Linked DNA regions of Caenorhabditis elegans. The protein of the gene in region 1 interacts with the protein of each later gene in a pairwise test. Each region holds a gene or a part of one and is shown on either strand. Other genes may lie near its edges. The genes, in order: exc-1 and exc-9.

Evidence for each region.
Region 2: the proteins of exc-1 (region 1) and exc-9 interact in a two-hybrid assay, tested with the Caenorhabditis elegans proteins (one study listed by BioGRID).

Annotation. Positions count from the first base shown.
Region 1 is NC_003284.9:15,475,369-15,479,298, forward strand, and holds the start of exc-1 (IRG-type G domain-containing protein), read right to left. Parts: upstream 2,042-3,930; 5' UTR 2,035-2,041; coding exon 1,862-2,034; intron 1,800-1,861; coding exon 1,643-1,799; intron 1,445-1,642; coding exon 1,145-1,444; intron 883-1,144; coding exon 542-882; intron 1-541. Other genes in the region: Soluble guanylate cyclase gcy-36, read left to right, coding at 3,873-3,875, 3,925-3,930.
Region 2 is NC_003282.8:7,939,028-7,942,652, reverse strand, and holds exc-9 (Cysteine-rich protein 1), read left to right. Parts: upstream 1-1,588; 5' UTR 1,589-1,665; intron 1,666-1,836; 5' UTR 1,837-1,846; coding exon 1,847-1,886; intron 1,887-1,933; coding exon 1,934-2,034; intron 2,035-2,269; coding exon 2,270-2,380; intron 2,381-2,568; exon of another isoform or gene 2,569-2,589; intron 2,590-2,628; coding exon 2,629-2,634; 3' UTR 2,635-2,841; downstream 2,842-3,625.

The DNA.
Region 1 (3,930 bases):
AGGTATGTGAGAATACCGTATCAATCCGATATATCTGGTACTTCCTCAAAAATATCTATCAGAATATGAGTACGATATATTTTTACTAGAGTGCATCTTTTCGCGCGACCATCATGGCTCAGCAGGTAAGACTTCGGCACAACGGGAAATGCTATCAAAGTTCAACACACAGGTATAAATTGGGTAAGAAATAGGCAAAACTTGGGTAAGACTTGGGTAAGACTTGGGCGACGCCTCGAGACGACGAGGCAGTCCACGACTTTTTTCATTTTTGAGGCGGCGCCCAACTCTTGCCCAAGGTTTACCCAAGTCTTGGCAACTCCTTATAAATGTTTTTATTTTTTGGGCAAGGCTTGGGTAAGAAGTTGCGAAGCCTTGGGTAGGAAGCTGGCGGCAAACGCCGAGACGCTTTAAACAATTTTTCCACTGACTATACTCTACTTTTAACTTTTAAATTCGGCCAATTCAACAACACAAAAGTGGTTTTTAAGTAAGTATCCAGTGGCGATACTCACCATCTTCCATCCTAAATAAAACTTACTCATATAATTTCTCAAAACCCATGTTGGCGTCAAAAACAACACTTGACGAAGAGAACGTTCTGGGATATGGAATTTCCCAGAGAACAATTTGTTGAAACTCTCCTTCAATAAACCGAAATGGCTCCATTCTGTCACAATGACTTCTTCCAGCTGATTGTGGATCACCATTGTTCAAGCCTCGCAGAGAATTAATCAGTGAGGATTTTCCAGACCCACTTCTTCCACAAAATCCAAAATTTTTTCTATTAGCGTCAATTGGAAATGCACCACTGTGAAATGTTTTTCCGGAACTGTAGTTGTAGTCATTGAGAACATTGTAGATTGGGTAGTCATCGGTTGTCTGAAACAGGGATGTACGGCCTCAAATTGTTGTCATTTTACTAATTTTTTGAGGACAAAAATCAATAGTTTTGGTCAAAATTGTATTGTCAAATTTTTGATGTGTGCGGTAAATTTCGAAACTTGCCGAGCTCGGCAAATTCGCAGCACACCACTGGTTTGAAATATGTTAGACTTGTGGTAAAGCTCTCGCGCACTTAACATCCGATTAATATTGGGTTCGTGTTTAATTTTTGAAAAAACTGGCTTATACATGCACTCACTTTAATAGAAGAAACTGATGCATTATCTTGCAAATTGGGTGCCTTTTTTTCCTGCTTCGCAAAATCAAACTTCACATGTGGAATACCCACTGCATATGCTAACTCTTCCTTTTCAACTTTTTTCTCTTTTGGAACTACAGGCGGGTCACGGTCTCTTGTGTTCAAAGCCTCGAATAACTGAATTTTGTCTTTCGCATAATAAATGGGGCGTTTTATAACTGGAGGAGCGTAGTGAGATTCATCTGGTTTTGGGGGCAACGGACTGGCACCTCTTGTGAGTACGGACGAACCAAAGATTTTCTGGAAAACAATTTTACTGATTATTTATTTTTCAAAAAATATGTTTAGGAATTGTTGCAACTATGTACAGAAAACTTTGCATACATACTTGAAAGAAATAAAATATTTCAGTATTAAAATTACATATTTAAAACATTTTTCACAACAAAATTATGAACAAAAAAAAACGAAAAATCCTATCTTTTCGAGTATCCTTACCCTAGTATCTTCATGATGGAATATTCCATCTTTAGGCGGATCAGACGGCGGTGGAATACTTGGCGGAGGTGGTGGGCTTGATCTAGGTGGACTACTAGAACCAGAGTGCTCACTAGACCCCAGTAATATTGGTGTTTCTTCGATAAACGATCTCAAGCTGAAATCAATATCAAATGCAAACGAACAAGTATTTGTATACATTTTTCAGCTAACAACTACCTGTGTGTATCCCGCGGTGTGGGTGGTGGAACAGTAAAAGGATTAGGCGTATCTGGTTGGTAAATGGGTGTCGGGTGCGTAATTGTAATGTTTGGTAGGTCGGCGAGCGTTTTTGCTGTTGGAAACGCAACATGGTTTTCCACTTTCTCGTTTTTTGAGGTTTTGTGTCCCATCCTAAAAAATTCAAGTTGAAATTTGTTATTGGCATGTATTCTCGGCATTTTGCATTAGGTTCTTGCTTCAGTTTAGCCCGAAAATGTTTAACATTGATTAAAAGTTGGCAAAACTAGGGCCAACCTTGGCGAAAGTTGTGCAAGATCTTTGGGAAAAAAATTAGGCTGAGCACAAGTTTAAGCCAACTTTAAACCAGCTCAAGTTTGAAACGACACCAGAAATGTTTGCACAAAAGTTTGGTAAAAGTTGGGTCAAACTCGGCGCTGCTCAAATTAAGTTTTGCCACAATCTCGTCCAAGTTGCGCCAAATGTAACCCAAATTTTGGCAACGTTTGATAAAAATTAACATTTCCGGCAGAGCAAAACTTGGCCAAGAAGCTAGTGCCAAACGCCGAGTTATAAATTTTCATACAAAAGAAAACGAGTGGTGAAAATTTTGAAAATTTAGAAAGTAGAATATTGAATATACATAGAATATGTGAAACGCGAAGAATACAATAGGACGAATCAACGCACTCCGTTTTAATCGCATAGTCTTACTAAAAATTGAGAGATTGGATGAAAAGCGGAGAGAAAAGTGGTTTGCAACAAACACGGAAAATCAGTTATACAGTATTTTTCTCCGCATCTTTTTTTTCCCGAGTTACTGGCACACTTTTTATTTCCATAAACCTGCACTTTATGCAAATTACGGTGAATCATTCCAGCCGTCTGGTCTATCATTGACTTTTGTTTTAACAAGTTTTAGATATGATGTTGGTAGATGGGGTTTGGATTCATCGTGAATTAATCTCATTGAAAATTTGAAGTAGTTCGGATTCTGAAAAGGCCATCTGAAAATGATCCTAATTCCATTTGGAAAGTTGAAAACTGTAAAAATACTAATTTCAGGCTTTTCGTCGTTGGAACTCAGAATATCACAGTTTTACGCACTTTCAGTTATTTTTAATGAACACAATGCATATTTATTGCTTATGCTTTTTATTTTCCGATAAAACGACACGGAATATGTAAAAAAAACAGTCAAATAATAAAAATAAAAAGAATTAATTAAATATAATAGTGCAAGCGCGCTCAATCGAAAAATTTTTTTTTTAATTTTAAAATTTTTTATTTAAAAATTTAAAAATTTTTCTGAATTTTTTAATCATGATATTCGGCCATAGTAATGGAATGGGATGTCCCCATAGGAATGTTTTAAAGCAATTTCCCCACTGAGCAGAATTCATGGTGAAACATTTTTTTGCCAATGGGAAGGTTTTATTGTAAGGTACCGTATTTTCAGTCATATCTGAAGTACTAAAATCTGGTTGTTTTAACATTAAAACTGCATTTTCTGTGTAAATATAAAAGTTATTTGAATTAAACAATTATACCACAAAAGAAATACGAAAAAAAAATTCTAAATCCAAATTTTCAGTAGCAACTTTTCAATTTTGACTAACTTAAGGCAGACTACCGTTTTTCTTCTATTAGTCTTGCATGCATATCATTTTTAGTTGCATTCCATAGATACCTTTTGAGTTTTCCATATATTTACAATCTTCCTCACTCTCCCATCTGTCACCATCTCAGCAACCGGTGAGGTCAGGCGGATAATAAAATTTTTGATGACATCGACACACGGAATGACTTCCTAAAACAGACGACTACAGCATTGCGTGTCTATTAATTATTCAATGCACCTGAGCAATGAGAAGTTACAATTTCCAATTCCACCTTTTCGTAATCATAACTTTTCTTCCATTTCGTAACTCATTTTGGTAAGAATTTCCGTCTTTCGGAGCGAGAATATTTCTTTTCTGACGTGGTAAATTCAAACAAGGGCTACCCAACAATGGTAAAATACGCAACGTTTTGCAGAAATCATGTAATTTTTTTTATTTTAGTTCGGC
Region 2 (3,625 bases), on another chromosome or scaffold:
TTCTCTAATTTCCAGTTTTTTCAATGAAAAATGTATATTATTATTTCGAACTATTTTACCATCCCATTAATCTTTAATCAAATAGTTATCGTCTAATGGGCAAATTTACTTCACTTGAGAAAAAACCATTCCTAATACTAATTTCATGTCACCCTTGTACATCTTCTCATATTATTCTCCCTTTCTAAATCCAAATATGTCCTTTTGTGACACCCCATCACAAGAAGAAGAAACATGTATTTTTAGAGACATAGAAGTGTAAATTGCACCTGTTCATTGCCTGTTCTTTTCCCATCCCGCGCACGCGGTCAGTGGTAAAAAGTTGTAAAAGAACAGATGTGGTGCCCCTTTCTTTGCTTCAATTGCCCTGTGATGCAGCAACAAAAATATTAAAATTATATTTTATTATTATTGAAGTGATGTAGTCTAAACTTACCGTAGCATAGGAAATAGTAAAAATTGTTGAAAGTTATTTTTTATTTTCACTCAAATATCAAAAAAAAAATTCAAATTTTGTTTACTAACTACATACATAGTTTACACAAAATATCAGTTATATTTCCGCTGATTCATTCAAAAAATGCAAATATTTTTCCATTTTTCCGGTCCCGCGAAACTAATAATCTCTTGCCTTTTCTCTCTTTTTTCACTCGGTTTATTTCGGCTTTCAGACCTATTCATAGTGGGGAAATTTGTGTGGAATTGGGAAAATTCTCTGCGTCTCTTGCTCTCTTTCAGTCAGTCAGTAGAATTGTATTTGTGCCAACTGTCACATTGTGTTGTTTCTGGTGGCAGGTGTCTAGGTATACCTTTTTCCTCAATACTATGACACACCCTACACACCATGTTAGGTATTCGCTTTATTTGCGTGTGGTGGGTAGTACTAATTGACAAAAATCAATTTATCGTCTTGCATGTAATTATGTACTTGTATGAAAGGCTAATTTTTCAAGTTGTCTGTAGTACGGCTAATATTCGCAAACCTCGTAAAAAACGTTTTTTTTTTTCAGAAATTTGTCAGTGCTTCAACGTGTTTAGAAGTTGATTTGAGATAGTTTAGAAATTGCTCTAACTGCTAACATTATCTAATATCATTGTAAACTATTCAAAAAAAATGTTGGAATTTTTAATTTACAGTAATTTACAGAAAAGTGGTAATCATTCAGTTTTCATATATCGTAGTTTTGGAATTCGAAGGTGCAATAATCCTCCGAATGTTTCAAAAAAATTGCAATTTTAGAAAATTTGACAATTTACCAAAACTAACTGAAAATTTTAAAACTCCAAAGACACTTTGGAATTTTCGATTTATTTTTTTGTTCATTTCAAAACTATTTTGACATAATTCTCACTGGCGTTGATCTTTTTTTACGGAAGTTTTATTATGACAATGGATTTTCAATTAGGGCTCAGGGTGTTCCAATACTACATGCATGGGAAAACTAACTGTATTTAGAGGAAATATGTTTTTTTTGCAGTTATACATTCTGTTCATAGTTCGAAAAATCATAAACTCCATCTTTAACTTACGTGGCCTTTTGTTCTAAATTTGTTCAGTTCTCTGTATTTTCCTCCTTTGTGCTCAACATTTTTTACGTGGAATTCTGAGTTCATCTGTTATTTCTCACAGTAATCTGGTCTTCGAGCTTTTCCTCATAAAATTTGGTAAACATTGGTTATAAAAGACGCGCGTGACAGAAACAGCAGAAGCTACTCAAAATCTTCTTCTCCTTCTTTGCCTTCTTTTTTGTTTCTCTCATCTATTTTAGAATTCTCTTATCCTTTCTGTTTCTTCTTTTTCTTCAATGAATATCCCGTTATCCATTTCCATTTCAGAGAGCCAACAATGCCAAATTGCCCGCGTTGCCAGAAAGCTGTGTATTTCGGTAATATTCTATAACAACTAATTCATTAGAAAATCTTTTATTTTCAGCCGAACGAGTGACTTCAATTGGTTTCGACTGGCATCGTCCATGTCTTCGTTGTGAGAATGAAGCATGCAAGAAGACGTTGGCAGCTGGAAGTCATTCGGAGGTTTGTTTAGTTTTACGGAGCCGTGAACATATATAATTCAAAACCTATGTTGGGAAATTTTCTAGATTCCAATAATCGATCATTAACAGATTATTAAAACTTTATGGCTTATAAGTATACTTTTCAAAAAAAGTATACTTCCCAAAAAAAGAACTTTGTAGACCTAGGGACATTCCATCTATAACTTCTTTTTTGAAATATTTCTCTCAAAAGCTCATAATCTATATATTTTCAGAGAGAGGGCAAGCCATACTGTAACCGATGTTACGGAGCTTTGTTCGGACCACGTGGATACGGCCACGGTGGAACCGAGTCACACACGTTTCATCAAGGACAAACTGGACAGGTAAGAAGAGTTTTTGTTTCTACTATAAATTATTTTACTTTATAAAACTAACTTGAGTTTCTAGTAACCTTTAGTAAGGTTTATTTTCTACGTTTCAAATTCTTGGAAAACAAAATTTTGAAACGCTTTATAATATTATTACTGTTTGAAATTTCCTAAATTTATGATAGAAAACATGAAAATAGTATTCCTCTAACAATTGAATGGCTCAGTTTAATTTTTCAGTTCAAAATTCTCAACATTTTCAGGTTTAAGCCATCAACTGCTTCTCCACGTTCAATCAGTCCTCATTCTATCCGCAACAGTAGAATTCTCGTACCCACACGCCACATCGTCACCTACTACTGATTTTAATATTCGTTTTTTTGCCTCTTTTTTCGATATTTCGAAAAGAAATTGTGTCTCTACGACATTCACATTCCCCCACTCAAACAATTCGACATAATAAAGTTTATTGATAGAAATATATTACTTATATGTAAAATAACATTTTTAAATGGGTCTAAAACAGAACGAAAAATCAAGCAAATAAACTGAAAGTCTGAGTACTTTACGATGTTTATTAATACTTTCCAGCTACGGAGCTGATATCATCCATAAATATTAAAAAAAGATCTACTGATAGTAAGATTTGTTTTCAAAATAACAACGAACAAAATCCGGAAAAAATCTTTATAAGTGTGAAAATATGTAATATGTGTTCTTAATATTAGAACAAGTAAGCTGAAATTGACGTATATTACAAATCCTATTGTGGGTCTTCAAACTCAAATTCAAAGATAGACTAACATTCAGACATTAGACATAAATAATTTCAGTTCAAAGATTTTTGCTTACAGCTTTGCAATTAATAAACAACCCACAAAAGCAAAGCTTGGTCTATATTTCAAGAGCTGTTTGATTCTATTACCTCAATCAAATTGCTTCATTTTTCAAAAGTAATATGACACTTGGACGCCAATACTCTAAGGTTTTCCAAAAATGAATTCAACTTGAATCAACCGAAAATTGACAGTATTGTATTTATGGTCAACGTTTACGTTTTCAGGCAAATTATAAAATGAATCAGAAGCTTTCGAAAGAGGATCGTAAGTACCCTAAAGGATCAGAACATAGTGACAGACAACCATCTGAAAGTATTCTCATTCTCTTAGCTTTGAATACTATTCCAACAATTCCAACAAAGCTCCTAATCCAAGAGACTCATCTAATATTATAATATCACTCGCAATAATCCGCATTTTC